Coturnix japonica: one gene and its partners. The protein of the gene in region 5 purifies or fractionates together with the protein of the main gene of each other region. This does not show direct contact. Links are inferred from orthologs where the notes say so. Each region holds a gene or a part of one and is shown on either strand. Other genes may lie near its edges.

Region 1 (4,287 bases), about 99 Mb from region 5:
CCACAGGCAGTGAGGGAGTATTTCATTTGTTTAGAGTTCACTTATGGCCCTCATCATTCTGTTGACTGGGTCAATATGTGATGGTCTTGTGTCTGCTGGTGAATTCCAGCAGCTCAGACAGAAACAGCAGTATTTCCTGGGGCTTGCTAGTTCTGTCTTACCAGTAGGTGTCACTAAAGCCTGTAGGAATCATAGAGAACATTGCATTATTCCTTATCTAACTTTTGGGCTGTTTAGTAATGTTGAGGTAATTAATATTGAAACGTAGCAAGTAAATTGATTCATATATTTTGGCAGACTATTACTTGTACTTAAATAAAATGCAACCCTCTGTACTATATGTTCTAGATCACTACATTATAGCTCACTTTGGTTAAGACTGGAAGGACTAAAATAATATGTTCTGAAGTTGTTCTCTGTTATTGTCCTGTTTGTCACTTTTTTTCTGTGTTCACATAATACATGTGGTTAGGTATCTTCTGTCTTTGGAATCCAGTGAACTACTGGTTTTCAGTATCTGGTTATGTGTATTAGAAGGATTGATTATCACTTTGGCATTTGACCATTTTCACTTCTGCTTATGTGGTATAACATGCCTTTTGTTTTAGACATAAGATTTCTCCAAGGTTGATTGAGTGGATGAGTACCACAGTCTATTTCTGTTAAAGATGTTTTTGTGTCTACACACAAAAAATATCTGGCTTATACTTTAAACATCACTGTTCATGTACTTTGCAGTTGGGTGCCATCTTTTTTTTCCCTCAAGTAATGCACTTGTTTTTATGGTCTTTTTTTTGTTAGGGGAGAGCCAAAGACGTGGTATGGTGTGCCCTCTCATGCAGCAGAGCAACTGGAAGATGTGATGAAGGAGCTGGCTCCTGAGCTATTTGAATCCCAGCCTGATCTCCTTCATCAGTTGGTCACTATCATGAACCCCAATGTGCTGATGGAACATGGTGTACCAGTGAGTAGTACATGAGCGTTTTATCCACTCAGTTTCATTTTGTGCCAGATTTGTGTAACTGGAGAATTTATATGGTGGACCTCTACATCTCTAGTACATTAGTTACAAGGTGGCGTTAAAGCCTATTTTTTGAATCCTTTTTGAGCTTCACCATGAAATTCAATTATCTTGTATCAGAAAGAGGGTGTGCCAAACTTCTTACTTAAAATGTCTTGTAGAATAAATGAATGTGGTGCTACAGTTCATTTTAATGGATAAAACCCTTCTACTGTATTTGCCCGTAGATTAGTTTTAATATATTTTGACAGTCAAACACTGATGTTTTATAGAAGTTTCAGCTTTGCAAACTGTTTTGACCAAGCATTACTGACAGCAGACCTTTACGCAGCAGTCACTGTGAATTGCTTTTTGTGTTAGGATAAATTGCTTCTTGGACAAACAGTCTGGCAAAGCAAACCACAAACTGCTTCTAGAAGCTTTTACGGGTTGTGGTGGATTAAATAATGATAGTCAATGATCCTTTTTTGGAATTCATGAAGAGAATTTTAAACTGCTGGATTAGATATCTAGCTCTTACTTTTTTTGAATTAACACTATAAACTGAGGATTTGTTTTAAAGAGAAAGAATCAAACCTTATTACTTAGATATGTTGACTACAGTGTTGTATAGGTAATGCAAGTGATGTTCAGTACATTCGAATTGCGTTGCAAGTCTTTCAGTGCCTTTTTTTCTCCCCCCCACCATCCTTTCTTTTCACTTGCATTAGGTGTACAGAACCAATCAGTGTGCTGGCGAGTTTGTTGTGACCTTCCCTCGTGCCTACCACTCTGGATTTAACCAGGGATACAACTTTGCTGAAGCTGTGAACTTCTGCACTGCTGACTGGGTCTGCTCTTTTGTATATGTTTTCTATGTCTCCACTAGGTGACCTTTTCAAGGAGAGCGTTAGTTATTTCTTATCTGGTGTGATCTTCTATGCCTCACAGTGTGTTTTATGTTTGTAGTTCCTGGAACAACTGCAAGACTGTTGTTAATTTCCATTGCTGAAAATGATTTTGGTGTCCACACAATTTTAAACAGCTTCAAAATGAAGCTTTCACATGTGGTCTTCCTTTTCAAATATTGATCTTGCAGTTCTTCTGCTAGTTTTTCTCTAATGCGTCTTCCTGGATTTCATATAGATTATTGTACTGCTTTGAACAGCTGTTGTCATTTGAATTTAGAGGTAGGCATAGAACTCTTGTCCTTTTGTGTCATATCATTGCATTTTTTTAATCGTGTTAGTCCATATTCTAATAGACATGACTCACCAGAACATAACCTATATGGATTCCTCACTAAGTTGTTAAAAGTGTTCCTTAGCACTATTCAGAGTTTATGGTTATAAGATAGGATCTCATCTGTAGTTTAACATCCAGAATTTCTTCATTTATTAGGTAAATTGTCTGTGGACTTGTCAGATTTTTTTTTTTTCTTCTATGCTTATGACATATTCTGTGTGTAGCCCACGTGAAAACTCCTATTCTGACACTAGGCAAAATGTAACCCAGAAGTGCATAGGAAATTGGTCGAGTCATGCTTTCTTTTTGTGCTTTAGAAGACACAAAATGATTGATACTGGCTTTGGTTAACTTCAGTCCAAACGTAGTTATTTCTAGATGGCAGTGTGTCTCACCTCTTTCCCATAATACATCTTTCTGTTTTTCATTCTGTCTTTCCCTGGATTTTGTGAAGGAAAGTGGGTGGTGAGAGATTGTCTCAAAATGTTTTGTCTCTAAATGATTAATGACAATGATTTTTGTAGCTTCCAATTGGACGTCAGTGTGTGAGTCACTACCGAAGGCTTGGGCGTCATTGCGTTTTCTCCCATGAAGAACTGATCTTTAAGATGGCTGCAGATCCGGAGTGCTTGGATGTTGGGCTGGCTGCCATGGTCTGCAAGGAGATGACACTAATGATAGAGGAAGAAACACGCTTAAGGGAAACTGTTGTACAGATGGTAAGTAATGAAAGATAACTCTTTTACTCTCAAAAGAAATTTTGCTCCTCTCCCCTTTCCTCTCTGCTTCACCTGGACTAGAGTTTTTAACAGGTGTCCAATTTTCTTTTTAAAGGGAGTGTTAATGTCTGAAGAAGAGGTGTTTGAATTGGTTCCAGATGATGAACGTCAGTGCACAGCTTGCAGAACAACGTGCTTCTTGTCAGCTCTTACGTGTTCCTGTAATCCTGAGCGCTTGGTCTGCCTATACCACCCATCTGATTTATGTCCGTGCCCCATGCAGAACAAGTGTTTAAGGTATGCCAGTAGTTAGTTATTTTTCCCTTTCCAGATCAATAGTGTCTTGAAGACTGATTGCCAAATATCACATTTGGCCACTCTTTTTCTCTTCCTTTATTTAAGGAGTGCTTTTATCCTCTTTGTTTGATTCTTGGGTTCAAGGTAGAGGTTATTATACATATTCTGTCCTGACCTTATTTTAACTGGGAAAACTCAACAGTAAGCAATATCCTAAGGTGTTGTGTAAGCATTAATACTCTTGCTTTATTTTTCTCTCATATCTCCAGGTACCGGTACCCACTAGAAGACCTTCCATCTTTGCTGTATGGAGTGAAAGTTAGAGCACAGTCTTATGACACTTGGGTCAGTAGAGTTACAGAGGCTCTGTCTGCCAACCTCAACCACAAAAAAGGTTAGACTTCCATTCTTTGTTGCAGGAGTTGAAAGGCATCCTACTTTTTCTGATTTAGTGAGACAAATCTCTGTGTTTAGTGAAAAAAATGAATGAGAAACTCATCTTTGTGCATTTGAAATTAAACTAGCCTGTTGGAACCTTGATGTAAGGGTTGGGAAGCAGTCTAAAATGTATTTTGTTTCTACATTCATACTATATGCTGTTATTACAGATGTAATTGAGCTCAGAGTGATGTTGGAAGATGCTGAAGACAGGAAATATCCAGAAAATGATCTCTTCCGTAAGCTTAGAGATGCTGTGAAAGAAGCAGAGACCTGTGCTTCTGTAGCACAGCTGCTTCTGAGCAAAAAACAAAAACACAGGTAGGACAGATTGATTTATTTACTTACTTTTCTACAGCTTTTATCAATTTTGTTACTTGGTAGGACCTGGAAATGTAAGAAAACCGAGTTCTCACTGTCTACTAATTACTTCTGGTGTTTGCCTTTAGTGCTGTTGACTTATTGGGAGACTGAGAAGACATACAGTTATAGCAAAGGCCCAAAAAACAGACTTGGAATTGCATTAAATGTACTGTTCTGAGCTGTCTCATGTACTGAAATGTGAAATCCTTAGGAAAAATTGTTTGA
Region 2 (4,287 bases), on a different chromosome or scaffold from region 5:
CAATGATACTAGCAATTAGTGAGGAAGGGAAGCAAAAATGCTAAACCTGAGGATGGATCTGATTGTACCTCTGTGCCATCTTTAGCTTATATAATTGAAGCCATGGGATTGCTTAATGGCGCTTAACCTTGACAGACAGAGTCTCTGCTTCTGAAGATGTTTTCTTTTTCCTTGTGTTTAGGTAGGGCCAAAACTTTGCTTGTTTTTTTTTTTTTTTGTGCTTTTTGTGTTAGATGAAAGTTCTCTCACACTTGTTTTGCAACCAGTGCAGAGGACAGGAAACCTGGGGCTCAGAGTAAGAAAGCTGTGAGAAGGTGGAAAAGCAGTTCAAAAAATGTTACCTCTTCTAATAGCCTAAACATATTGTAATCTGGGTTGGAAAATTCCTTAATGTGATTACATTAGCTTATGTGACATACCAAGATATTCGAAAAATTAGTGGCCTTAAAGACCAAACTGTTATAGTTGTGAAAGCTCCTCCAGAAACAAGACTTGAAGTGCCTGACCCAGTGGAGGTAAGGAGAACGTGGGTTATTCTGTTCATTATTCTATACATGGAGTAAGTGTACACCATGCTTTACTGTAAAAACTGTGCCCAAGTTGAATCCTGTTGGCATACAATTCTGTAATCATCTGTCTCAAAAACTTCAGGTGTTTTTTAAAAAAGGTGAATCTTAAACAATAATTTTACACAAAGTAATCTTTATTCGATCTTCTTCTCTTAGTTCCAGACTTCCCTTCAGAGTAATCAATGCTATTTACAACTTATTCTCTTTTGCCGTTCTCTATGTAAATAATGGGTTCTTCTTCAGTGGTTGAACATTCCTGTAAAACCTTTCCCTTAAGACTTTTGACTATTATTTTTCTAGCTTTAAGTAGTTTTAGTCTTTTAGTTCAGGGATAAATTAAAGTCTTAAACATCTCACTGTCTTGTATTACTGATATCCTATTTAGAAGAGAAACATGTTTTCATGTAGGATTCTCTGAACTAATAAAGCTATTGCTGAAGCTTGTGTTTCATTCCTAGAATCTTTTCTGACTTCTCCTTCTTCCATCATCCTCTCTATTGAAATATATATTAACACATCTATGTAGAATGTCTTACATTCTGCTAGCACACTTTTTTTTATTACTGTAAAATGTGTAGAGGTTGGAGGTTCCCTTTTCTATTTAAAGACTTCAGAAGCTGCCCATGTTCATCTCTATCTCTCCTCTTTTGCCTCTTGCTGCTTAGGCCACAGTGCTTAGGCCACAGTCTGTCTCTCAGTGCCAGCTTTTGTCTATAGGATGTCCGGCTCTCATTCTATTTTCCTCACTTTGTTTTTTATTTCAGGTAGATATCCAGGTGAATTAGTCACTTCTCACTTCCTTTCTCTGACATTACAGTTACAGTGAAAAATGCTTCTGGTGGCTTTGCTTTGAAAATATCCACAGGGAGCAGCTTCACATCGTTTCTCATGTCTTATGAGCCACAAGATTTAGCTGCTCCTGGGATTTTAGCTTTTGGTGGCAAAAGTGTGCTGCTTTACAGCTCCCAGTTAACATGGCAGACCCATGTATGTTGGGCAAATGTAAATGCTCTACGTGTGCCACAGCTTTAGAGAGTCAAAAAACATCTTATTTCTTCACTTGGAGAGCATTTAGAGATGAGGCTAAAGCACAAAATCCTCTGTGCTGTGTACGTTCCCCTGTGTTATTCCTTTGTCACCATCACTGCGCTGATTCCATTATCCCAGAGCTACCTGCTCCTGGGCAGGCAGTAACAGACTCCATGCTGTCACTTCTCTTACCAAGGTTCTTCTTCACTTGTGTAGGCTCATTGTGGTTTCCATCTTATTCTTTTTTCCTTTCACTGTCCTTAACTTCCTCATTGAATGCAGATGTAGGTTTGGGAAGAAAAAGAAATTGCTACAGAGAGGAAGGGGTATCTTTTATCAGTATCTATCTGTATATGTAAAGAATTCTGTTTCTTTCCCCTAAGCATTACACTTACATTTTTGAGTGAAATCAGACAGGTAAAGAGAGAGGCACACCATGATTAAAAGTAGTACCCAGACCTCTCTTATCCTATATACCCTCACTCCCTTATCCTATATAGCTCACTCATTTAACTTTTTTTAGGCAGTAGGAGTCCTATTTATTTCTTTCATTTGCAGTTATATTTCAGTGACTTTTTTTTGCATACCTCAGTCACCCAACTGTATGTTCTCCAACTCCTGCTCTCTAATTACATACAGCATCACTCTAAGTATTCCTAGCTGTTATCTGTGCCCTGAGGTTCTTGTTCTCGTTCTCTGTATCTGAAATGCTGCCTACAGTGCCATATAACTGCCAAAGCATAAATAACATGAAGAACATTTTGTCAAAGTACACAATCAAATGCATTTTAATTAAACCTGCCAAGAAGCATACAACATCTGAATTCATGTTTGTTTTTGTTTTTAACTCTATTAATGTAATACAGCCAGAGCAGGCTTATGTTTAACTAGAGGCATTTATTATTTTTTCCTCGTGACACTATGAACAACTTTGGAGATGTTCTGTCTGTCTGCAATATACCACTTCGCTTTATTGCATCAGTGTGTGAAAGCTAAGAAAACTAGTTGAAATGAATTAAGAGATCCTGCTGTTGGGAGCATCTTTAAAACTAGAGTTGCTTCCTTTGCTTCTTTGAGGGGGGAGCAGAAGTGCATTTCTAAACAGGCTTTATTGATGAAAATGCTTTTGTTGTTGTTTGGAAAAGCATCCCCCAGCAAACGGGTGAACTTTCAGCTGTTTGATTTCAGTGTGAATCAGTACCAAAGATTTTCTTTTATTAAAGGTTGTTCTGACACCTTTTTGAAGCAGAAGTGTTTACACAGATACATCCAATATCAGTGTTAGAAATAATGACTTGGATACCGTAGTTCTGTTCCACCAGAATACTCCTGGTTATTGTGGGCATTGGAAATTGTTAGGAGTTCAGTCCTTTATAACTCTCTGGTTATGATGCAACACACGATGGACTTCTCTTTTTTTTGGGTTAGTGCACAAATCTTAGAAGCCTTTCGTGTCGTCACAGCTGTATGTTGAACTTCGCATTGTTTTGATTAGTAAAAAAACACATTCAAACCTTTTGTTACTTGTACCCCCTTAAGAACTTACTGTGAGTCTCAGTGTTCTGTGGTCTTCATTGCTGTAACATCTTACCCACGTTTGTTCTGTTACCAGAGTGCACTGATACATTTATCTAGTACTCAAGGACCTATTGAAGTTTATCTGTGCCCAGAGGAAAACGATGCTCTCAGTCCAATGAAAACCTATAGTCAGGACCACAATGGAAACATTTCCAAAACCATTTCCAAAGGTAAAATGATTACTTTCTAATACTAAAAGTCTTCCTTCATGCTTTATACAAGATTTATTTATTTGTTTATTTGTTTTTACTTCTGCTACACAGCTTTTATTTTTTGGCTTTAATTTTCAAAGAAGTGGCAAGCTGAGGTACCCATTATCCACTATGTTCCTCCAATGTATATTCAGGGGAAAACATTTCCTCTCTCTGACAGGAGTTTAAAAATAAGAGTTGTATTTGCATATGATATGGAGCTATGTAAGCAAAGTATGTGACACATTGGGGAAAAAGAAGAATTGTTCCTACAATGTTTTGAAACAGGGTGGCTGCAGCAGAGATCATTCTCAACACCAGCCAAAGATTTCTGTGTATTGGTATATAAAGCTGCACAGTGTCACTGATGACATCTGTTGCATAGAAGGGTTGCACTTGGGAGTACTTCAGGTTTGTGAGCTCCTCTAACAAAGAAAGTCATCCTTCATGCATCTTATTCAGTAGTTGTTGAGATCTTGGATTTTTTATTTTGTTTTTTAACTGGAAAAAAATCAGTGCTGATAGAAACCTGAGATTTTTTCTGAGAAGCCCTTTGTTAAGATGTCAAAAATAGGCTACAAATTATCTGATCTCGAGGAATTTTTTTTGCTTAAATGATGTTTTATGATGGGCTTATATGCAGTTGTTACTTTATGTTATCCAGGTCTAATAGTTCTCATGGCATTCAGTGTATCATCTTTATTTTTTCTCCCCTTCTCCAGAAGTGGCTTCCGTTAACTCAGGACAAGGTGACTGCTCAGTAAATATGGCAACAATCTCTCCATTGGCTTCTCCAGCCAACCTACTACAGCAGACCGAGGACCAAATTCCCTCAAACTTTGAAGGACCATTTGTGAATTTGCTGCCTCCTCTGCTTCAGGAAGATTATTTGCTGAGCCTCGGGGATGAAGAAGGCATCA
Region 3 (4,287 bases), on a different chromosome or scaffold from region 5:
AACTTCAGTTTTTAAAATATAATTGCTTTTGACACACTGCTGTAAATAATAATCTCTTCCTTCTGCATGTTGCTTAACAGCTTAAAATTTATTAACAGCATATGAAAGTTTAGAGTGCAGCGATTCCCTCCAGGATATAAACACCATTCCAATGAAACAAATATTGATTACCATAGTTTTAACCAAGATAAGAAGTGTCTACACAGCTCTTCTGTCTATACCTACATCTTATTAGCAAAATCCAACCTTAAAACACAATATCTAACTATAATTCCAACAATCATAACCTGCTGTTAGGAAGAACTTAGAAGAATGTTAAGCTACAAAGAGTCAGCAGCAGAGGCAATCCTGAAAGACTACAAGTTTACTTTTAATAATACGCATTCACCAGCCTTCAGGGTCAGATGAACTATTCTGCTGTGGCAAACAGAATAAAAATGAAGATGATGAGCACCACCTGCATTACATAAAAGAAAACTGTCTTTGATGCCCTCATCACTTGACATAACTCTGCAACCTCTCACCCACCCACACTGCACCCCCTTTTTACCTACTATGGTCTGTTGAAAGATTTCTCTTTGGGTTGCACAGTGATGATTTCTTTAAAGTTAACTGTGTGTGCTCCCACTCCTCAAACCCCTTTAAAACATGAAACAGCTCTACCAGGCTTTATCCAGTATCAGCTGTGTCCCACACAACTCAGCCACATTGAAAACAAGGCAGGAAGGCCAGCTTAAACAACTAAGATACTGTTCCATACCACAGCCAGGGATAGCGAAGAAGAGGCCTACTCTGGCAACAAGGTAAGACACCTGGTGACAGCCTGCTTCTGACCAAACCCACTTCAACTTGTCAGACTTTGTTTCTGGACAGTGTTTTCCCTTGGAAGATACCACTCTTCAGTCAGTTTGCCCTTTCTACATCTCACTATCCAGTAGTTTTCAACCTGTCTTCACATTTCATTCAAACTTCCTCTTTTCCTCTCCTTTGCTTCCTTAGCTGAAATTCTGCCTACCAATGATACATTAAAAGTACCCATGAAAACAAGTGAATTGTACATTCACCAGCTATCACTAACAACAGAGAGGCTGTTTTGTATTTCAACTGCCCAGTTGCTCACCATCCATACAACAGCCCTGTCTTACTTGTTGCCTATATAGGAGTGTGATAAAACAAGACCTTGGCAAGACCATCAAGAAGATGGAAATTAAAAATACTGCTTGCCATGTCTACCAAAAAAAGGCAATACCTTAAGGTACAATAAACTCTACAAGCCCAAAATAGCATTTTCCTTTCCCTTTCCAGCTGAGCAAATGAGGTTTCTGATTTTCACACTGTAGAAACCAGTCAGACCTCCAAAGTCTGAGGATAATCTTGCTTGGAACATGCTCTGTGCTGACAAAGATACACTTCTGAGGTGACACAAATTAACGCTTACCTCTCCCTCTGCCTCTCCTCATCTTCATCTGACTCTTTATCAGACTCCTCCTGCTTTTTAATCTTTTTCTCTTTTTGCTTTGGTGTACTTTTCCTCCCTAGTAGAGTTTCGTTTTCTTTCTTTTCTGCATTCTCAAGGCTTTCCTCTATATCTTTGTTTTCCTTGTTGTTGTCTTTCAATTTATCTTGTGTTTTATCATCTTCACTATCTTTTTTAGCAGGGGTTGCATCACGGGCAAGCCGTCTTCGTCCCTAGAACAGAAATAAAACCTGATTAAAATCTACTGTCACTTGTTCTCAGTATAGGCCCCCCAAATACACTACGTCTGGATGGAAGAAAAGCTGGAACTAACACCAAAGAGCAAAATATTCTAAAATCTTAATAGATTAACTTAAGTAGTTTTGTTATCAACAGGAATAAAGAAGATGAGGTTGGGAGAATTCCAAGATGCCTGTAAGGTCTGCTGTCCCTGACAACAACAGCAATACTGCTGAAGTGCTCATATTGGACTGAGACGTGGCACCTTCCTTTTAGTGCCTCCAGTCCCAGTAGCTACCTGTTGAATTCACAGGATTCATCTGTCAGCTTTAGAAATACTGAATGTTTAAAAGGTATTTTCAGCAGTGGGACAAACTGCTGTTTAGGACTTTCCTCGACTGATTCTTGGGGCTCTAGTACAGGCTTACCGTGTTACTATGAAAGTATCTTTGACAGGGACACTGCATAGTGACTTGAACCTTTTAAGTACATTATGAAGAAATACTGTGCTAAGAATCAACTCTTTCTGTGGTAAAAAAACAGGTCCTCCTTTGATTCTTAGTGCTTCAGCAGTCCCCTGATATGCCTGCTTGACACAAAGCTCCAGGCTCCACATGCAAGTGCAAGTTCTCACCCATAACCAGGACTACCCTGCTTGTTCACAGTGTTCTGCTGTCATACAGCTCTCTAACCACCCCCAAACAGAAACACAACTGATAACCAACACAGGCTTAGCAAACCCTGTGGAAGGTTTACAAAATGAATAATCAAAACACAATTAACAGCTGAACACCAACTCCTGTTCACTGAATGCTGTCCTATAAGAGTGCTAATTCAAATGTACAGTTGCTGCACAAGGGAAAACTCATTATGTAAACTGTTCAGTATACAAAGGGGTTTTAAGTACTAAATAGAAATCAGTCTGAACTACTTACCCTCGGGGATCTTAGTTCTATTTCTTCTTTTTCGCTCTCACTGCTGGAATAGTTTTCTTCTGCTTCTTTTTTGACTTCTGTTGGAGGCATTTTTTGCTCCTCTTTCACACTCTCCTCCATTGGTTCCTCGTGTTTCTGTATGTCTTCTACCACTTTTGGTTCATTGTGATGAATGGTCCTAAACTGAATGTTTGCAGAACGGCAGTACTCTTCAAAACCATAAAGATACCTGTATAAAAGAAGCAAGAGTTTCATCTACATTTCAGCTTTTATTTTTCTTTATCCAAGTGCAAAAAACCTATTTTCCTGTTCATAGGGAAGCACAGTAACTTTAGGAAGAAAAAAAAGCAGTTTCTGAAATAAAACAACTCCAAACAAGAAGTCAAGCAGCAAAAAAGACAAGTCAGCACACACACACAGGTGCTTCCCACAATTTTAACGTCATCCCTCTTCAAATAAGAACTCGTGACATTGCAGCCTAAGAACAGTATTAAAACAGGGAAGGTGATGGAACAGCTTGTGCTGGATGCCATCTCCAGACAACTGGGTGATAAGGAGGTTATCATGAGTACTCAGCATGGGTTCACCAAGGGTAGGTCGTGCTCGACCAACCTGGTGGCCTTTTATGAAGATGTCACTAGCTGGGTGGACAGGGGGAGGGCGGTAGATGTAGTCCACCTTGATTTCAGTAAGGCTTTTGATACTGTCCCCCATGACATCCTTTATAACAGCGAGGAAGTATGGGATTAGATGAGGTGGCGTGAGTGGGTGAGAGGCTGACTGTCAGAGTGCAGGGTTGTCGTTGCGGTGCGGTGTCTGCTGGAGGCCTGTAACATGCGGCGTCCCCCGGGTCGTGCTGGTCGGTCTTGTTCAACATCTTCATCAACGACCTTGATGAGGGGATAGTGACCACCCTCAGCAAGTTTGCTGATGACACTGAAGGCTGTGCTGCCATTCAGCGAGACCTGGACAGGCTGGAGAGCTGGGCAGGAAAAAACGGATGAGGTTTAACAAAAGCAAGTGTAGAGTCTTGCACCTGGCTAGAAATATTGCATGCATACAGGCTGGGGAAGAGCTGCTGGAGAGGAAGCTCTGCTGAGAGGGACCTGGGCGTCCTGGTGGACGACAGATTAACCATGAGCCAGCAGATTGTGCCTTGTAGCCAAAAAAGCCAATGGCATACTGGGTGTGTATTAAAAAGAGCGTGTCCAGCAGGTCGAAGGAGTGATCCTCCCCTCTACTCTGCCCTGGTGAGGCTCTATCTGGAATATTGTGTCCAGTTCTGGGCTCCCAGTACAAACAGACAGGGATCTCTTGGAAAGAGTCCAGCGGAGGGCCACTAAGATGTGAAGGGCTGGAGCATCTCCCCTATGAGGAGAGACTTAGGTACTGGGTCTGTTTAGCCATGAGAAAAGAAGACTGAAGGGGACTTGATCCAGGTTTATAAATACCTGAGTGTGGGAGCCATAGTTGGTGAGGCTGGTCTCTTTTCAGTAGTGTGTGGGGACAGGACTAGGGGTAATGGGATGAAAGTACGCCATAGGAAGTTCCGCACAAATGTGCGGAAGAACTTCTTTACAGTGAGGGTGACGGAGCACTGAACAGGCTGCCCAGGGAGGTGGTAGTCTCCTTCTCTGGAGATATTCAAGACCCGCC
Region 4 (4,287 bases), on a different chromosome or scaffold from region 5:
CTCAGCTGTAGCAGCGTGGATTCAGAGCTGCTTTCTGCTTCAGTGAATGCCTGCCCTCTCCTGACCCTCTGCAACCTACATCTGCTTGCTTGCCTCAGAGAGTTCAATGGGGAAGCTGCTTATCCTGCCCACCCCAGCTGTGCATAATCTCACCCTCATCTGACTGCTCACCTCTTCCAAGCTGTCTCATCATCAGCTCTTCCGTTTCTCATCTTTCCTTTCTTGCACTGTCCTCCTTGTTCACCAGACTTTATCCTGCTTGAGTTCCTGCTTTACTGTTTCTTCTGGTTTAAGGTCAGGCTTCTTGGGGACGGGGGTTGTGTTTTCAGTTTGACAGTGCTTGGGGCCAGATAGTTTGTAACAGCCTGTGGGAGCTTCCTGGAGACCAGCAGACAGATTATTGCTTGGTTCATTGAGCAGTTTGCATTTTATTGCACCTGTTTTTCTTCCTAAAAGAGTTTGCTTCTGAACTCAGACCACACCAAAAACCTTAGTTGTTAGTGACCAAAAGGAAGTGGAAACACACTGTGCACCGACTGTCTTGTGAAAACATTTGGGACTCAGCTATCAAGAGAGATAGAAAGGCAGTGCCTGTGATGTTGAGGCCGTTGGGTCTTTAAGTTTAAGCTTTCTTTGGGCTTTATTATGCCTTTTTAACATCATTTAACAATATTTTCCTTAAGTGTAGATTTGTTAAAGGACTCCCATCTCCTCCACAAATCTTGTGCTTCTAATCCCTGCACTTTTGCTGAGCTGACCTTTTGTTACCTGTCTGTAATAGAAGGATGTGCTGTTCTGCTGTCTGCTCTGTGGATCGTAGGGAAGATGATCAGTCCTTCACGCAGGATGTTGGTGAAGCGTGGACACAAACCACACTAAAGTTTAAATATTCAAACTGAAAGCTGCTAACTGCTCGGTCTTTATATGCCTGCTTTTACAGCACTGGTATTTCCCCCATTCATGTTTCTCGTGTTAAATATAAACCTGGATGCAGATTGGGAGCAGCTCATCTGGGTTTGTTGTGTTCTGCAGGACTTGGAAAGGAGATGGTGCTGTCAGCCTGGCTCTCTGTGTCTCTGTGCAGGGGCCAACACAGCCAGCACCAGGCAGCTCTTGCTGATAGAGGCAAGGGAACATCGGCTTCAGGTGTTGGTCCACGTGAGGCTGCTGTGCTGTCTCTGCTGGCAGGGCAGCTCTTCCAGCTGTGTGCCATCCTATTCACAATTCAGACTGGGGAAGATGAATGAGTTCTGTGGAGGAATCGGCTGGAAAAATGCTTGACTTTTCTCGGAAGGGTTGCTTGGAAAGAAGTTTTGCAGGTTCTTTATGCCCTCAGGGTTGGTACGTTCAGAGCTCCACAATCTGCTTAGCAGCTTGAGTGGGTGTAAATGGCAGTCCTCCAAAAGAGGGAAAGCTGTGTGGACTTTGAGAAGTGCCAGGGGCTCTTTGTCAGCATTGGAACAGCCTGTGCCCTGTGAGTGCCGACCTGCTCTGTTTTCACAGGAGACACCCTCCTTGCAATTCGAGCCCCTTCAGGCACACGCTTAGAGGTTCCCATCCCTGAGGTGAGTGATAAGTGCGTGGATAGAGAGCAGCTGTGTGCTATGGGGGAGTGCTGCTGCACTGAGCAGGCTGGGAGTTGGGAAGGAGTTGGTGGTTGTGGTTTTGATGGAGTTGGAGGAACTTGGAACTCAAGGAAGGCTCTGACTGTTAAATAGTTGCCAAGATGATCTGTTTGGAAAGAGCTCTTAATGTACATCTGTGTTTTGCTTCTGACTTTTCTCAGGGCCCGAGTAGGCAGAAGAAATATCAGATCCATCTGAAGAGCACCAGTGGGCCAATTGATGTTCTCTTAGTAAACAAGGATGCTTGGAGCTCTCCTCCAGTGGTGCTACCCGTCCCACCCCCTGAAGACCTCATCCAGTGCCAGGCAGTTGCACCCTCAAAACCACAGATCCCTCCGCTTGCCCACTTCCAGGAGGCATCTGTTCCCAGCAGCACCCAGCCCTCAACGCCAACACCTTCCAGCACTCAGGATCACAGCCCTCCTGAGCAGAAACACACGAACACAGGTGAGAGGGAGGTTGCAGAGAGCAGAAATGGGATGGTTGCCGACCAATAGGGCAGTACAAACCTGGTCATACAGCACTGTCAGCTCCTGGCAAAGGGAGCACCTCTGTGCTTGCTGCACCGAGCCTTTGCTTTCATCTTAGTGGGACTGGATGTGCTAATGGAAATACTGTGTGTGTCTGTGGCTCCTTCCAGAATGCAGCATCTCAGTGCTGGAGTCCAAGAGCAGCAGTGACCTCGATCCCCTCAGCAATGTGTCTGCACCCAGCAGCCATACAGCCAGGCTGGACACGCAGCTGCTGCAGTCCTCTGCCTCACTGGACAGCAGCTCTGTCCTACCCAGCCCCTCTGCCTCCTTTGAGCCAATCAAACCTGATCCTGAAGGAAGTGAGTATGCACCCTTGGTTTGTTTGTCTCTCCAGATTGTGCCACTGGGAGCGAGGGAGGGGCTGCTGGCTCCAGGGGGACGAGCTGAACTCTGTCAGCCAGACCACATGAGCAGTGAACAGGCATTTCTTTGGGGGGAGAAACCACAGCAGTGTGTGGGTGCTGGGGAACCTGGTGTGGAGATGACAGTGTCACATCTAGTGCCGTGTCACTACCTGTGATGCTAGGCTCAGAAAAGCCACAAGGGATGCTCACGTGATGCATCTGTGCTGTTCTAGGTAGGATTATTCTCTTTCAGCCCCTTTTGTAGTGCTAGGTCTGAGTTTTGAGACTGTGAAGCCTTCACTGACATCACTCTTGTAACTTGTTCGGTTATTAGGAGAGCTCTACTCTCTGTTTTTCTCCTTTACTCAGAAGTACTTCTTCTATCTGTAGCAATCTTGTGGTCTTATTGTCTTCCAGTATGTGTCTGGGAAGCTTCCTGCTGTGCTTGTTGAGGTGCAATGGGCTTTAAATGAGGAAGTGTTAGCTTCAGACTGGGAAATGGCAGGCTGGTCCACAGACAGAAGAGCATCCTCTGGATAAGACACTGTGCTTTAATGCTTCGAAGCTTACCTTCCATGCAGAAGTACTTAAAGTTAATGTGTTAGAAGGGGATGGTGCATAAGGACTGAGAGGATAGCAGGGCAGCGGCTGATGAAGCTGTATAGTATTTCAGATGCTGCATTTAACAAAGTCAATCATTTGGTTTGTTATATTCACAGTGCTGGAGCTTCCCAAAGAGCTGTCAGAGATGTTTGATCCAACGAGAGGTACGTTCACACCCTGATCACAGATGAGAGCTTTTCAGGCCCTGTGCCAGCACTAATCTGTGTTCTGCCTTCCCACACTCCTCTTCCAACTTGCCTGCATCATCTAGAGCCACCAGCAAAACCCCTGTTAGTCTTGTTTCAACTGCAGCGTGCCACTGTGGATTTCTCTCTGCAGTAATGCATGCTGTTTTATGGACTATTCCTCCTGCTTTGGAGGGGTGAAGTTCAGATCCAGGAGTGAAAGCTGTGAAGGATTTTGCTTGTTTTACCCTCATCTACTGAAGAAGGTCTAAAAATATAGGTTCTGTATTTTACTGCTATTTATTTTAGCTCATATTATTCCTCTCTGGTTACCTCTAGTTGAAATCCTCTCATCTCACAGCATGGAACTAGGCAGGGTACATTCCTGTTCTTTAGGAAATGGCCTGCAGTGCATCAGCATCTTGAGGACGGGCTCATCTGAGTTTGTTCTGTGGAAGATCACTTCACTTGTGGGTGATGAGGGCCTGGCCAGGCTGATTGAGATCATCACTGTTTAACTTGGTGAAGTGAGAGAGGGAATCAGAAGGTTGTTTCCAAACACTTCGCTTCTAAAAGGGGAAAGATCCGCTTGCACACGCTTGGCCTGGCTGCTTGCCTGCCAACCTTTCAAGTGCTTCGTGGTCCTGTTGGCCAAGTTCAACATCACTGGAGGAAGGAACGATGTTTCAGAGATAATTTCTGCTTGTAGCCTTGTGTGGGCAGTGGAGCAGAGAGCAGTTAATGGCCCATTAGGGAAGGATATACAGAGCTCAGATGTTTGCTGGTGGGCAGCTGGCCAACCTCCCATGGCATATCACAGCTGTGGAGTGAAGGGATCCAATGAGGAGGGACGAAGAGGACAAATATGAATGAAACTGGAGACTGATTAGTTCTGCTGCTCCTGGAACAGCTTGTTTCTCTTTCTCCTCCCCGCTCTAAAGTGAGTGTGTGTAACTGAGGAGTGCATCTGGCTTTACCACCTCAGTTTCAGATGCAT
Region 5 (4,287 bases):
CTCTATATTATGTATGTGCATATATATATGTATAAATCTAATATTATATATGATACCTTAAATACTCCACTTTGATTTATGCTGATGAGGTGACTAAGAGAGATGCTACAAGGTCAAGCAGGACTAATTGAGGTGTTTGGAAATAAAATACTTTCCTTGCCTTTCCTTTCCCTCTCCTCTTTTCTGTACTTGACTAGAACTGCACAGTGAACCCTGAAGACAGTATCCTGAAAAGAGTGGAAAGCCTTGGACACATCTTCAAAAAGAAATTTGCTGAAGCAGTTGGGCAGGGATGTGCTGAGATTGGCTCACAGGTAAGTAGCATTTTGATTATTACTTGTTATAAACTTGATGCTAGCTAATGTGTGACCTGACTTACTACTTTGTCTTCAGTGCAGATTAACAATAGAAAGTACTAATCTTTTCAAGGAATGGATATGCTTTTCTTTTAATGCTCTGTAAAGATAGCATTAACAAGTGGTTCTTGTTAATGCTATGCTAATACTAATGCAAGCAAAAACAAAAAAGCAAGCCAAAAAACATAGGATTCTTAATTTTTTTTCTTTCTTTTTTTTTTTTTTTTTTTTTTTTTCCCTCCTTTCTAATAGAGATACCAGCTTGGAGTACGGCTGTATTACAGAGTAATGGAGTCTATGCTGAAGTCGGTAAGTTTCGTACTGATAGCTGTGTACTGGCATTGCATTTTTGATGGCTGAAAATAATCAAAGCTTCATTTATATACCTCAGGAAGAAGAGCGTCTCTCAGTGCACAATTTTAGGTACGTACCAACCACTGATCATTATTACCTGTTATTTTATTTTTGGGATAAGTATTAATGATTTCGTTTTCCCTTTAGCAAACTTCTGAATGATAACATCTTCCACACATCTCTTCTGGCGTGTGCTCTTGAAATTGTCATGGCTACATATGGCAGTAAGTTGAATCCAAAGTGCTAAGGAGCACTGTTAGTGATTGCGAATTATTGCTATTTATTCTAATATGTAAAATGCAGTAAATAGCAAGGAAACTAGCAATGATTTAATAAATACCAAACATGTGAGAAGTGAAAGAATGTAATGCTCTTGGTAATCGTAATCTGCTTCCCTTACAGGAACTGCTTCACAAAGTGATGGTACCAGTACCGAAACAGACTTGTCTTTCCCGTGGATTCTCAATGTATTTGATTTAAAAGCTTTCGACTTCTACAAGGTGATTGAAAGTTTCATTAAAGTGGAGCCAAGCCTAACAAGGGACATGATAAAGCATCTAGAACGCTGTGAACATCGCATTATGGAATCTCTTGCTTGGCAATCTGTAAGTAATGTTTTAAAGCAGTTATTTGTCCTTGTATAACATGCAAATCTAGAAAAAAATACACCTAGATATATAAAAGAAGTTGAAGTCTTGCTGAGATGTGTTTCTGGCAAAGAGCTAAAGAAGATCTTTAGTGTGTCTTCAGGTTTTGGGAAGAAAGAGAGAGATCAGCTTAGCACTGCTGAATTATGTGCCAGCATCTTTCAATAGTCTGGCATGGATATTAAGAGTAGTAATGCCCATACACAGTATTTTGGTGCCAGTAGACAAGGCAGTACATTCTATGCACTTATCTCTAAACTTCATCTGGTTTTTAGTCCTGCTTGACTGTAAGGCATTGTGCATCTGATGTGATTGTTAATAGTATTTAAAATCCCAATTCTCATTGTAACTTGCACTGAAATTCCTTCAACTTTTTTGAATGGCATCAAAAGCATTCTGGCAGGTTGGGTTTTGTGTTTCAGGGTGAATCTTCGTAAGTCAACAGCTGTTTCTTTATACTGTGTATTAGTTATGTACCAAAAATGCTATTAATGGTACAAAACAGGAGACTATAAAGGCTGCTGACAGAATGACATGAAGTGACCATTTAAGAACCCATATGATATCTTGTAGATCTGGGAAATTTAAAGAACATTATATGGCATAACTAATATGATATTCTACTGTGAACCAAGTTTGTATATGATTTTGGTTAGATCTTGGTGAGATGCACATGCCTCTCTGCTGCTGAATGCATAGAATTTCTTTGAAAAAGACTGCCTGAAAGCACTTGAAGATTGAGAGCTTTGTACCAGAGCTTATAGTAGCAGAGAAGATGAAGAACTTTGCTCAAAATGTTTAAAGAATGCTTTGCTTATTTGAGAATTTTAATGCTTGGAGGGTAATGACAGAGATACAAATACTTAAATTTTACTCTCCACAAGCAGAAAATGGCTTCTGACACCTCATGCAGACTGGTTTGATTCCAGCTTAATCATGAGCAGGAAGGCTTTAATCTACCAATTTCTACTCAGTAATCCAAGCACAACATGCAGATAATCTGATTCAGATTTGGGCTTTCAGACTGGAGAATCCAAAACACAGTGTTTTCAGTATTGAATCTGTTGTCTTGAGTTGCCTGAGGTGTTTGGCACTGTCTTGGAGTGGCTTATGCAGCTTATTTCAGAGGCTGTCAGTAGGTATCTGTAGAATTGCAAAAGCACTTACTTTGTTCCCTTCTTATATAATGCTTGGCCTGTACTTAAAACACAGCTAAGCCAACATCCTCCTCCTTGATACAGGCAGGCTCATCACTAGAGGGCACAGCAGGGCTCTCAAAAATGGAGGGTAACGTGCTGACAGCCAGCTATGTGCTGGCTGCAACTGGACTGTTACTCTCCACAGTTACCCTGTGACTCTGTGGCCTCCTCATAGGAGGTCCTCCCTTCCCTCTAGAATTACTATTACAGTAAATAACTTACATAACTGACAGTTACTATGTTGTTAAGGCTAGCTGGTTAATTAACATTTAGATTTAGACTACCTCAAGTACTCGGGTGCAGTTTGGGTTTGTAAGAAATTAGTGTCCAAAGGACGGCTATAAAGATGGTGAAGGGTATGGAGGGCAAGTGGTCTGAGGGGCTGCTGAGGTCCCTTGGTGTGCTCAGCACAGAGCAGAGGAGCTGATGGAGGCCTGATGGTGGCTGCAGCTCCTCACAGGGAGCAGAGGGGCAGCGCTGAACTCTGCTCTGTGTGACAGCGACAGGGCCCGAGGGTAACAGTTAAGCAAAAGGAGGAAGTATTTCAGTGGTAGAAGTCTGCTAAAGGCTTTGGATTTCCTCAAAAGATTGAGCTAGTGAATGAGTGGGTGATTTATTGTATTCCTCTGTGGTTTATTCTCTGGATGCTGTCTCCATGTACTGATGTGCAAGATGAAAAAAGTATAATCTTAATTAGTAATTTCCTCAGTAAAGGGTATGTAAGTTGAGATGTGTACTTTGTAAATGTCTCTTATCTCCAGATGCTATAAGGGAGCAGAATGGGTAGGTAACTTATGCTTAGTTATAATGCATGTCTTACAAGTGATTGCAGGCAGAATGGTTCATTAGGAGGTTTGTCTGCTCTTGGGAAGTCAAGTGTATCGTCTGTGTTAATCCAGTTTTTCTTCCTTCTGCTGACTGCTTTTGGAAGCAAGACTATAATGTGAAATTTGAAGGGATGGGGAAATTGAAGGGAGAATAGCTGATTTTATTGTAGTTTTACTTGTTTTGAGAGTTTTCATAAGAATGCTTTACATAATTTCTCTGAAGATAAACTCATCTAAAGAGCTCATCTAACCCTTATCTGACACTGGAAGCTATATGCAGTAAACGTGAAAGACTGAAGATAATACATTGCTTCTTTGCTAGTCATCATGAATACGCTTATTGCTTTTTGCATTGCTAGTTGATTTAGTTGTCTGTACATGAGGAAGGAGATCAAACAGCTCTTTTCCATTAAGGAAAAAAGAAATCATAAAAACAACAAACCAAAAAACCCCACCCCCAAATAGTGGAAAAATATGGAAAACTCTTCCCAATAATACTTAATTCTGAAAAGGGGCAAATGTTGACACTAAGTCATGCAGAAAGTATGGCATTTTCTTTAGATCTTAAATGAACCCTGAAGTTAGAAGCCCCTTTTATCCCAGTAGAAGTTATCCACAAATGAATTTGTGCTGCTTCCAGATGCAGATTATATTCAGACCAATTTGCTACATATTTTTTATTCATAAAGTATACCGTACTATCTGTATATTTAACTGTAAAGCATTTGTACCTCATCTCATTGAAGTATTTAGGGTGCTACTTACATTTGGTAACTTGATTTAAAGGGCCTAAAATTACTTCAGACTCAAAAATAAAGGTGTCTGTACCCCTTGATTCATTTTCACCTTATTGATGATATAAGTACATTTTAAACCTTGGAATGGTTGGTCTGTTTCCTATGAG
Region 6 (4,287 bases), on a different chromosome or scaffold from region 5:
AGCTGTCACTGCACTTACAAGGAACTGACGGGGTGTTTGACTGTGATAGCAGAGAAAGCCTGTCCTCAAAGGACACTTGTTCAAGCACTCAGGAATCAGTTGATACTAAAACCAGAGCTGTGTTACTGTGAGCACGGGAGAGCAGTGGTGTTGATTCTGGCACATCTTGCTCTGGCGTGGTGTCTGCAGGACAAGGTGCAAAATTCTTGCAGGCAGGGTAGCAAAGTGTGAGCAGACAAATTAATGCAAGCAGGAAAACTGGATCTCAGCTTCTTTAAACGTGCCACACCATTTTGACATGATCTTTTAGCGCTCTGAGTGCCTGGCATTTGGCGTGGGCTCAAGTTCAAGCTGTTCCACTGCCAGAGCACTCTGTGGTGAGAGACCTGGGGATTGAGTGGGAGGAAATAGAAAATGAGCTGTCCCAAAATGAACACACGGCATCAATTTTTAAAAAGGAGATGCTAAAATGGGCCGGTGAAACTGCTCCGTGATGCAAGATCTGCAATTAATTCAGAATGATGAAGTATTAAAAAAGCTCCCTTGTGCATTCAGTGTTACTCCTGCAGTTTGGTGTTCAGTAACATCGCATCCTTTGGATTTTTCTGCTGCCATTGTAGGAGCTTTTGCAGGTGTATTAATCAGCAGCTGCTGAGAGTTGAGCCCTATGCAGGGTCCATCCTCACACTGGTGTATGCTGACTTCTTTGGCCAGTCACTGGGAAGCCAATCCCTGTTTGGCACAGTGATGGAATGCAGGCTGGAGGGGATGCTCTATCCCCCTTTAATATCAGCTCTCTCTTCCCAGTGGAACTCCTGGTCCTTGCCACCCACCCTGCCATGTGGCCTTTCCCTTCCTTTGATTTTCTTGTCCCCATCTCCTGCCCCAGCAAAACCTGCTCTTTTTTCTCCTTCCACACTCTGAGGCTTTTTCTCTGCCTCAATTTAGCGGAGGGTTGTTGGAGTTAGGGTACTATGGTTAGGCTGTGGTTGGACTTGATGATCTTTTAGGTCTTTTCCAACCTGAGTGATTCTATGATTCCCTGCTTTTTCTGCTGTGTGTTCCTGCTGCCTTTCCTATGCTGCATTTGGAAGCTGCTGGATCCTGTGGGAACAGATGGAACTCGGTCACTCAGCAAAACCAGGAGAGCTTTGTGCTGAGCTGGCTGAGCGAGGGGCTGAGTGCCAGGCATGCTCAGGGAGGTGCCTGGGGTTATGGCTGCAGTGAGTGAAGGGCAAGATGAGGGGAAAAGAGGCAGCTTTCCACTTTTACCAACAGCAAGTAGGTCTGGAAGCTTTTGATGTTGTCTTTTTTTGTTGTTTTTCATCCCTCCTTTCTGCTCCCCCTGGTTGTTTTTTATCCAAGAGCACCTCTTAATGTCCTGTGAGTGTCTCTTCTTTTCTGTGACACTGTGGTCTTGAGGTGATCAGTCATCAGGATTCCTGATAGTCCTTGTGGGGGTCCAGCCCCACCTGCTGGTCCCACCCTCCTGGCTCCAGCTGTCTCAGGCAGCAGCCTCTGAGGAGCAGAGCTCCACACATTCACATTGAAAGCACCGTGCCTCATGCTGAGCAGTACAGTTGCACAGTAAAGGAGATGTCATGTTTGTTAGGTTGTATTTTACTTCTGAAAAGTATCCAGGGTCCTGCCTGGCCCAAGGGAGGTGCGCTGTGGGAGCTGCCCCAGCATGTTCTCCCTCTGGAGAGTGTGCTTTAATTAAGACAAGCTTTGAAAGATGGAAGATTTTGTTACTGCTTTCAGTGTAGCTTTAATTTCCCCTTTTTGGGTATGTGGTGTTGATTTTTAACTTCCTGTTTATTGAGGTATGCGTGTTAAGTGCCAAACTGGCAAATGTGTGTTGTCATGAGAACTTTAGTTCGAATCCATCCGGCCACGTGACTGTTTTTAGCTGACTTTCCAAAGGAAACAAAGCTTATGCAAATGTTCCATCTGCCTAAGAACCTTCTTCAAATGAATGTCTGAACTTACCAGCCCCTGGAGGCGGCTGTGATGGAGGGTTGGAACCTCCATTACATCAGGATGTTGTGACTGGTGAGGCAGTAGTGCTCCCCATGAGGACAGAGCTGAAGTTTGGATTCGACTGCCTTTTATTTTTGCTGGTTTGCCATTTGTCCAACCAAAGCGAGGGGGGATAGTGTTGGAAAAAAGGGATCAGAGAGTGTATAGGAGAAGCTGCAGTTATTATGAAGGACTGGAGTTGCAGTTATGGCTAAAAGATAGGAATCTGTTGGGAAACAGGCTTTATGGAATGTTGCATGTCAATGAACGTGAATATCAGGAAGCTGGTGTACTGGAACACTTTTAGATACACTTTGTGTGGGTCATTTGTCAGCCTGAGGTTTCTTACAGTCAAAGCAAACACAGCTTTGGACAGCATGTAAGTCTTGTCTTTCTCTTGAAGGTTTTCAAGCCATACCAGGCATCGCAGCATGACATGTGCAGATTCCACTCCGAGGACTACATAGACTTCCTGCAGAGAGTGAGTCCCAACAACATGCAGGGCTTCACCAAAAGCCTCAATGCCTTCAATGTGGGCGATGACTGGTGAGTGCTCTGTGCCTCCTGTGAACCTGGGGGTGGAAATGCTGCTGTGATCTTGCACTGTTTGTGTCTGGAGAACTATTGTAGTGTGTACTGGTTCTTATTTTTTAAGCAGAATGAGGTGCATGCCCTTCTTGAGCATAGCAGATTATTGCAACCTCCTCAATTCCTTCCCCTTCTCTTCATATCTTATCATCCTCCTTTTAGATCTGCATTTACATCCTAAACTGGTTATGTTAGAGACTGTGACTCCGCTTGTTCTTGCAGAACCTCCTGTTCTTCTTGAAAATATTATATATCTATTTTTTTAAACTGTTGCCTATTTTAGCTACCTTAATATGTGCATGTTAAGTGCAAGGTAGCTCTGAGAGCCTGATTTTCAGGTAGAACTGAGGAGAGTTTAATGCTTCTATATTCACATGAGAGCTTGTTACAAATATTCAGTTCCAGTCTTTCACATCTGTGAGAGGCAAACCTTGACAGAAGTGTGTAGAAGGGCTGTATGTGATCGAGGAAGTGCACAGTATGCCTTGTCTGAGGAAAGTAATGGCTGTCAGAGAATAAGACTGTTCTTTTCTATTCTTTGGAAGGGAAAGCTGTAAGTACTAATGTGAGAGGAGTGACATTAGATAAAGAACAGTGTTATCCCAGTAAGGTATTGGGATAGCCGGGTTTTTAATATTTAGACTGGGAATCAGAAGGCTGTTGTGCAACATTACTTTGATCAGAAACCACTTACAAGAATACAGGGGGGGAAATAAAAGTCTCTAAGCTATTATTTGTCCACGTATAATGTTTGTGATGTGATACTTGTGAGTTAGTGGCACATGGGCACCACATCTTCTGTTTCTATACCCTCTTAGAGATCCTGGTGCATTTATTGGCTCTGCATGGTGGGTTTGGTCCTGCCTCAGCTCTGCTGTAAGAGCTGCATTCACATCCACTTACTGTATATTGCATCCTGTGCTGTGAGTTGGGAAGGGGAATGGGCAGGGTCTTCTCAATGCTGATAAAGGAAGATAGCATGGGGCAGACCTGTCCTCCTTCCCAAGTCATATCCCAGCTCTGGACACACATCAGCAGGGCTGCAAGACAGATGCTGGTGTGTTGTGGCAGAGGAGAGCTCTCAGGACTGGCTTTGCTTGGGAGGCGTGTGGAGGAATAAGAAGATGTCCTTTGTTTGAATCATGACTTCTTTTTTTCTTTTTCAGCCCAGTGTTTCCAGGGCTCTTTGAGTTTTGCTCTCGCTACACTGGGGCCTCCTTGCAGGGAGCAACGCAGCTGAACAACAAGGTAACAGAGCTGATGGGCTTGTCTTTGAAACACTGGTAGGAAACAACTGGCTATCAGTTCAATGACATGAATGTGTTTAGTATAATAATGTAGCAAACTATGCTTTTTTGCAGTGTAAATTCTTTCCACTATATGACTGTAAAGGTTAAGACCATTCCTATGTCATTACAATGACAAAATTATAAACTCAGTTAACTTGGAAGAGACTTCTGAGATTATCAAGTCCAACTGTTCACCTAACAATGCAAGTCTACCACTAAACTAAATCCTTAAGCTCCACATCCACAAGTCTTTTCAATATCTCTAGGAATGGAAACTCCCCTGCCTCCCAGGGCAGCCTGCTCCCTACCTGACCACTCTTTCTGTGAATAAATTCTTCCTGATATCCAATCTAAACCTCCCCTGGTGCAACTTGAGGCTGTTTCCTCACAT
Region 7 (4,718 bases), on a different chromosome or scaffold from region 5:
AGGTACAGGCAAAGATGTCGCTTCCTCTTCAGACAAACTGCAGGTCGGAGTATGTCAACCCAGAGGTTGGGCCACATTTTAGTTTGAGGTTTTACAGCGAGACGGACAAGTTGAGCTCATTCTTCAGGAGAAATGTGGGCTGTGGGGGTTATGGGTGTGTGTTGATATTACAGCATGGGTTGTGGGCTCACAAAGCATTGAAATGAGCAAACAGTGCAAAGTAACGTGTTATGAAAAGGAAAAGGGGAGATGATCTGGAAAGTATCAACCAGATGGGGAACACGGTGTTGTGCTGAGCCACCAACCAGAGAGCAGCGTCAGAGCTTCCGAAGTGTGGGTCTTACTGCAGGAAATCACTGACTCCCTGCAGAGCTAAGGAACCTGTTACAGCAGTGTTCAGTGTGGATCTCCTTCTGAGACTGAGTTTGGGCTGTGTCTAAGTTCTGAGGAGTAACAGGTTGGTTTAGAACCATGCACAAGTGGTGCTTACTGCAAACTGACCATTTCAGCATCTCCAAGCTGAGCAGTGTGTGCATACAAAGGCAGCTCGTTCTGCAGGCACTGAAAGCCAATGCCAGCTACAGCAGTCACCGTCCATCTCCTTTCCACAATGGTTAAATGCCTTTTTCTTGTAATCACAGCATCTGACATAACTTTGTAAGCACTGCATAAAAATAACCAAATGAACTAGAAAGAAGTTTTAAAGACACACATGACTTTTTATTGAGGCAGTATTTGAGTTCAGATCTGGGTTTAGCACATGGAACTTAGGAGGACTGCAGGAAACCAGGCACTCTGCCTGGCTTCTGTTCTGCTGCCTTCCTTTCCCGCAGCACGGCCTGCTGCGTTGCACGGCCTGCTGTGTTGACTGTGAGCTGCTTGGGGCCTTGGCAGCTATGTGAGGGAATGCTCCATTTTGCATATGGTTTATTAATGCTTTCGTTTAAGCTTCTTACGTAACTGCAGGTATTGATAAAGGTCTTGTTACGTGTGACTGTTTCGTAGGGAATGATAAAGAACAGAAAGCGCACGGTCAGCACATTCCTGGGCCTGTGATTAATAACCGCCTGTGAGCCGTCCCACGGCAATAACCATCCGGCTCTCGCTCCTTAGCTCAGGACCCTGTTCTGGTGCCGATGGCTGTTCCCTGCCGTCCCTGTCCATCAGTAACACCCAGCTGTGCTGTGTTTCCCTGCACTCCGTTCCGCTCCCCGCCCCGCTCGCTCCGTCCCGTTCCCGCCGTGTCGCGGCTCCACACGCATCTGAGGCGCCGCCTGGGAAGAGGCGCCCCGCCCTTCCGCCCCGCCCCCTCTCGCAGCGGCCTCCTCGGATTGGCTGGCGGCGTGTGTACACACACCAGGCGCGGCCAATGGTGCGCCGAGGGCGCCCGACCTCGCGCGAGGCGGCGGCCAATGGGAGCGGCCGGCCGGCAGACGCCGCCAAGCTTGTGCGGGGGAGAAGGAGCCGGGCAGAGCGCGGCGGGATCGGGCCGGAGCAGCCGCGCAGCGATCGCGGCGCCACGGAGCGGGACTCGCGGCCTGTCCCTGCCGGGCCGAGCTGCGGGGCTCCTCGCCAGGCGGCGGCGTGTGGAGCGGAACCGCGGCCGGTAAGTGAGCGGACGGCGCGTCTCGGCGCCTCAGCGTCGCCGCCCGGGTCCGGTGGCGCTGCCGCGTTCGTTCCCTTCTCCCGCCCGGGCCTGAGAGACACGCGTCGGGATCCCGCCGGGACAGCAGCGCCTTCATTCGGGCCGGGGATTGCGCTTCAAACGCGCCTCGAGAAGGACAGGGCCTGCACCGCACCACGGCCTGGGTGTGACTGCGTGAGGCGGGGTGTGTGAGTGTGTGTGTGTGTGTGTGTCTGTGCCGGTGCGGCCGCTGACCTGACACCTGCGTTGGCCGCGCGCTCTCCCGGCTGTGTTTGGGGCTCCGCCGGTACGTGACACGGCGCAGGGTGCCGCGGGGCCTCTCGGTGACGGGCCGGTGTGAGCGGCCGGGCCGCGGTGCCGATGGCGGCGGGGCGGAGTGGGGGGGTTGTTGTGGGGGGTCGTTGTGGTGCGCGCGGTGCCCGGGGACGCGCCGAGGCCGCCACGACAAAAGTTGGAAGCGCCGCTCGCCGCGCCCCGCCGGATCAGGGCTGAGGGCTGAGGGCTCAGGGCCTGCCCTGCACGCCGTAGGCCGCACGGGCTTCAAGGCGGAGGCGAATGGCGGGGTGAGTGCGGCGGATCGGATCCGGGTGTGCAGACAAAGGGAAGAAAACAGCTCGTAAGGGAGCTAACTCCGAACGGGGGAGAAAACCGCAGCGCGGGGCTGGCAACGGGCTGCGGAGCGCCGTGCTGTGCCGTGCATTACTGTGCTGTGTATTGCTGTGCTGTGCCGTGCCGTGCATTGCTGTGCCGTGCATTGCTGTGCCGTGCATTGCTGTGCCGTGCATTGCTGTGCCGTGCATTGCTGTGCCGTGCATTACTGTGCTGTGTATTGCTGTGCTGTGCCGTGCCGTGCATTGCTGTGCCGTGCATTGCTGTGCCGTGCATTACTGTGCTGTGTATTGCTGTGCTGTGCCGTGCCGTGCCGTGCTGTGCCGTGCCGTGCCGTGCATTGCTGCGTCGTGCATTGCTGTGCCGTGCCGTGCATTGCTGCGTCGTGCATTGCTGTGCTTTGCCGTTCCGTTCCGTTCCGTGCCGCCCTCACGTGCTGCTCCGCTCCTTGTGCCTCCTGCCCCGCCGTGCTGTGAGCGGACACAAAGCGGGTGGTCGCGTCTGTGCGGAGCGGCGCCCACTGACTTGCTCACTCTTCAACACGGCGGGTGGGAAATTCAGATGCGATGGTTACGCGACCGGTGTTTTTATTTTGGAAATGGGTTCGGTTATTTTCACGGGTCTTTGTTAATATTCCTCGCTGTTGGTTTCTTTCAGCTGCACAGTTGTACTGTAAGGCAGTAGAAATGAGGTCAGAACCAGAGCTGCTTTTGTGGTACTGTACACATCTACTGCACACATCTCGACTAGATGTGATCTTGTATTAAAAAAAAGCCAGAACATATACATAGAGAGAGGCAGAGACTGTATAAATTGATGCTACTAGAAGAGAAACGAGTAACAGCTTTGCCATTTCTTTGCCTGCATTAAGGCTTGTTTTCCTGATTGTAGCACTTTTTACCTTGTCCATGAGTGCAGTGATGTGCTCACACGGGGCAGACCCGTGGCTGCTGCTGGAGCACAGAGGTGGAACAGCATCTCGGGACGTTTTTGCTGGTGCTCTGTATTGCATGGAGGCATTTTTGTACATAGCCAAATTCTGCATTTTGAGAGCCTGTGTTTGCAGTAACCTGCTGGGCACCTGATGCAGCACTTCAAAGAAACGTGGAAGCTTAAGTTCACGTCGCAGAAATGAACATACATCAAATAAATGGTGAGGAGAGGGAGAAAAAGCATAAATTCTTGTTGGGAAATGGTTGTGCAGTGAGCCTGGTGCCTCTGGAAGAGCTAAGAGTAATGGCTCTGAGAATGGTTCAGTTCTGTACAGAGGAAAAGGTGGTTAATTGTTAGATATTGGTAGGTTTACCTCATGGCTGTGTGTTAGACTGATCACATTTTACAGACAAGCTGTTGGGGCTTCTTGTAACCGCTTCCTGCTTGCACAGAAATCACTGTGCTAACAGAACCAAAAGAAGCTGTTTGACCTGCGTGAGGTTGATAGAATTAGCGTTGCTGAAATCATACGGCACTGATGGGAAGGCCGCTGTTCCTCTAGTGGGTTCCAGTGGGTCGGCTCACTTCACAGAGTGGTGAGGCTGTGCCTTGTGTGCAGCAGCTCAGCACAGCTCTGCCATGTGAAGGAGCAGGCTGAGCAGCACAGCAGGGCTGTTCCTGCTGCAGGAGGACTCCTGGTTTGTTCCTGTTCTTGTGTGTATTGGACAGTATTGCAGGAGCCTCCTATACATCTGGAGCTGCCTGTGAGCAACCACCAAGTGAAGATAAGGCTTTGTATTTTAGCACCTTCCACTGGGTTTAGCAAGAAGTAGGAACTGTGGTTCCAGCTTTCCATCCCCTTCAGGAACACGTGATGTTGGTCATTTGAAGTCAGCAAAACTCGCTGTGCGTTGGGGAGAGCATGGTGCTCATCTCTGAAATGAGCTGACCGGGTCAGGGGAGGGAAACTGCAGCCCGTACCGGGCAGGTTCAGTAAGCTGAGGTTTCTTTCTTTGTGTGCTTTTTCTGCACATACTTGGAGGTGTAACGAGTAAGAATTTCTCATTTACTTTTCCAATTGTATTCGTAGGACACAACTACTAATGAACCAACAGCGGGTTGTAAAATAGGGAAAATAAGCTGGCAGTTGTCTGGCCTGGTGCAGGAAATGTGCTTGTGGAGGTGGTTGTGTGTACAGAACCAAAAAGCCACTGGAGCCAATGAGACAGGCTCACAATTGACAGGTGTTCAGAGGAGAGCAATGCACAGAACCAGTGTGCATAGGACATGGAAACCAATGGTGTGAATGTCTGTTGTGGGGCTTGAAGAACTCAGCACATGCTTCTGTATGCTTGGAAGCAGTGCAGAAAGGAGCAGATACAGCAGTGGAATGTTGGTTTTACAACAGCTGCCTGTTCTGATTCTTTGTCTTTTTGTAGCATCCATTGTTAGAATGAGAGCCGCTTGATTTTTCCTGTGTTTCTGGATTTATAGCAGCTCTTCTGCAGGTTTTGTTATCTTACACTAATGG

Evidence for each region.
Region 1: the proteins of RB1 (region 5) and KDM5A purify together in Homo sapiens (affinity purification with western blotting; 4 studies listed by BioGRID and IntAct, with this or other methods). This does not show direct contact. The link is inferred for Coturnix japonica from reciprocal best matches to the Homo sapiens genes RB1 and KDM5A.
Region 2: the proteins of RB1 (region 5) and E2F3 purify together in Homo sapiens (affinity purification with western blotting; 9 studies listed by BioGRID and IntAct, with this or other methods). This does not show direct contact. The link is inferred for Coturnix japonica from reciprocal best matches to the Homo sapiens genes RB1 and E2F3.
Region 3: the proteins of RB1 (region 5) and ARID4A purify together in Homo sapiens (affinity purification with western blotting; 3 studies listed by BioGRID). This does not show direct contact. The link is inferred for Coturnix japonica from reciprocal best matches to the Homo sapiens genes RB1 and ARID4A.
Region 4: the proteins of RB1 (region 5) and E2F4 purify together in Homo sapiens (affinity purification with western blotting; 10 studies listed by BioGRID and IntAct, with this or other methods). This does not show direct contact. The link is inferred for Coturnix japonica from reciprocal best matches to the Homo sapiens genes RB1 and E2F4.
Region 6: the proteins of RB1 (region 5) and HDAC3 purify together in Homo sapiens (affinity purification with western blotting; 3 studies listed by BioGRID). This does not show direct contact. The link is inferred for Coturnix japonica from reciprocal best matches to the Homo sapiens genes RB1 and HDAC3.
Region 7: the proteins of RB1 (region 5) and TFDP2 purify together in Homo sapiens (affinity purification with mass spectrometry; 4 studies listed by BioGRID and IntAct, counting the BioPlex papers as one, with this or other methods). This does not show direct contact. The link is inferred for Coturnix japonica from reciprocal best matches to the Homo sapiens genes RB1 and TFDP2.

What each region holds. Positions count from the first base shown.
Region 1 is NC_029516.1:52,349,956-52,354,242, forward strand, and holds part of KDM5A (lysine-specific demethylase 5A), read left to right. Parts: intron 1-801; coding exon 802-964; intron 965-1,731; coding exon 1,732-1,851; intron 1,852-2,769; coding exon 2,770-2,964; intron 2,965-3,079; coding exon 3,080-3,261; intron 3,262-3,530; coding exon 3,531-3,655; intron 3,656-3,869; coding exon 3,870-4,020; intron 4,021-4,287. UniProt on the Homo sapiens protein: Histone demethylase that specifically demethylates 'Lys-4' of histone H3, thereby playing a central role in histone code. Does not demethylate histone H3 'Lys-9', H3 'Lys-27', H3 'Lys-36', H3 'Lys-79' or H4 'Lys-20'.
Region 2 is NC_029517.1:69,383,952-69,388,238, forward strand, and holds part of E2F3 (transcription factor E2F3), read left to right. Parts: intron 1-400; coding exon 401-515; intron 516-3,210; coding exon 3,211-3,346; intron 3,347-4,089; coding exon 4,090-4,287.
Region 3 is NC_029520.1:50,214,617-50,218,903, forward strand, and holds part of ARID4A (AT-rich interactive domain-containing protein 4A), read right to left. Parts: intron 2,861-4,287; coding exon 2,632-2,860; intron 1,690-2,631; coding exon 1,439-1,689; intron 1-1,438.
Region 4 is NC_029526.1:1,548,090-1,552,376, reverse strand, and holds part of E2F4 (transcription factor E2F4), read left to right. Parts: intron 1-1,503; coding exon 1,504-1,565; intron 1,566-1,786; coding exon 1,787-2,072; intron 2,073-2,265; coding exon 2,266-2,457; intron 2,458-3,221; coding exon 3,222-3,269; intron 3,270-4,287. UniProt on the Homo sapiens protein: Transcription activator that binds DNA cooperatively with DP proteins through the E2 recognition site, 5'-TTTC[CG]CGC-3' found in the promoter region of a number of genes whose products are involved in cell cycle regulation or in DNA replication.
Region 5 is NC_029516.1:151,039,217-151,043,503, forward strand, and holds part of RB1 (retinoblastoma-associated protein), read left to right. Parts: intron 1-197; coding exon 198-314; intron 315-608; coding exon 609-665; intron 666-747; coding exon 748-779; intron 780-857; coding exon 858-934; intron 935-1,112; coding exon 1,113-1,315; intron 1,316-4,287. UniProt on the Homo sapiens protein: Tumor suppressor that is a key regulator of the G1/S transition of the cell cycle. The hypophosphorylated form binds transcription regulators of the E2F family, preventing transcription of E2F-responsive genes.
Region 6 is NC_029528.1:14,736,996-14,741,282, forward strand, and holds part of HDAC3 (histone deacetylase 3), read left to right. Parts: intron 1-2,032; exon of another isoform or gene 2,033-2,052; intron 2,053-2,422; coding exon 2,423-2,565; intron 2,566-3,773; coding exon 3,774-3,855; intron 3,856-4,287. UniProt on the Homo sapiens protein: Histone deacetylase that catalyzes the deacetylation of lysine residues on the N-terminal part of the core histones (H2A, H2B, H3 and H4), and some other non-histone substrates.
Region 7 is NC_029524.1:8,785,267-8,789,984, reverse strand, and holds the start of TFDP2 (transcription factor Dp-2), read left to right. Parts: upstream 1-1,431; 5' UTR 1,432-1,606; intron 1,607-4,718. UniProt on the Homo sapiens protein: Can stimulate E2F-dependent transcription.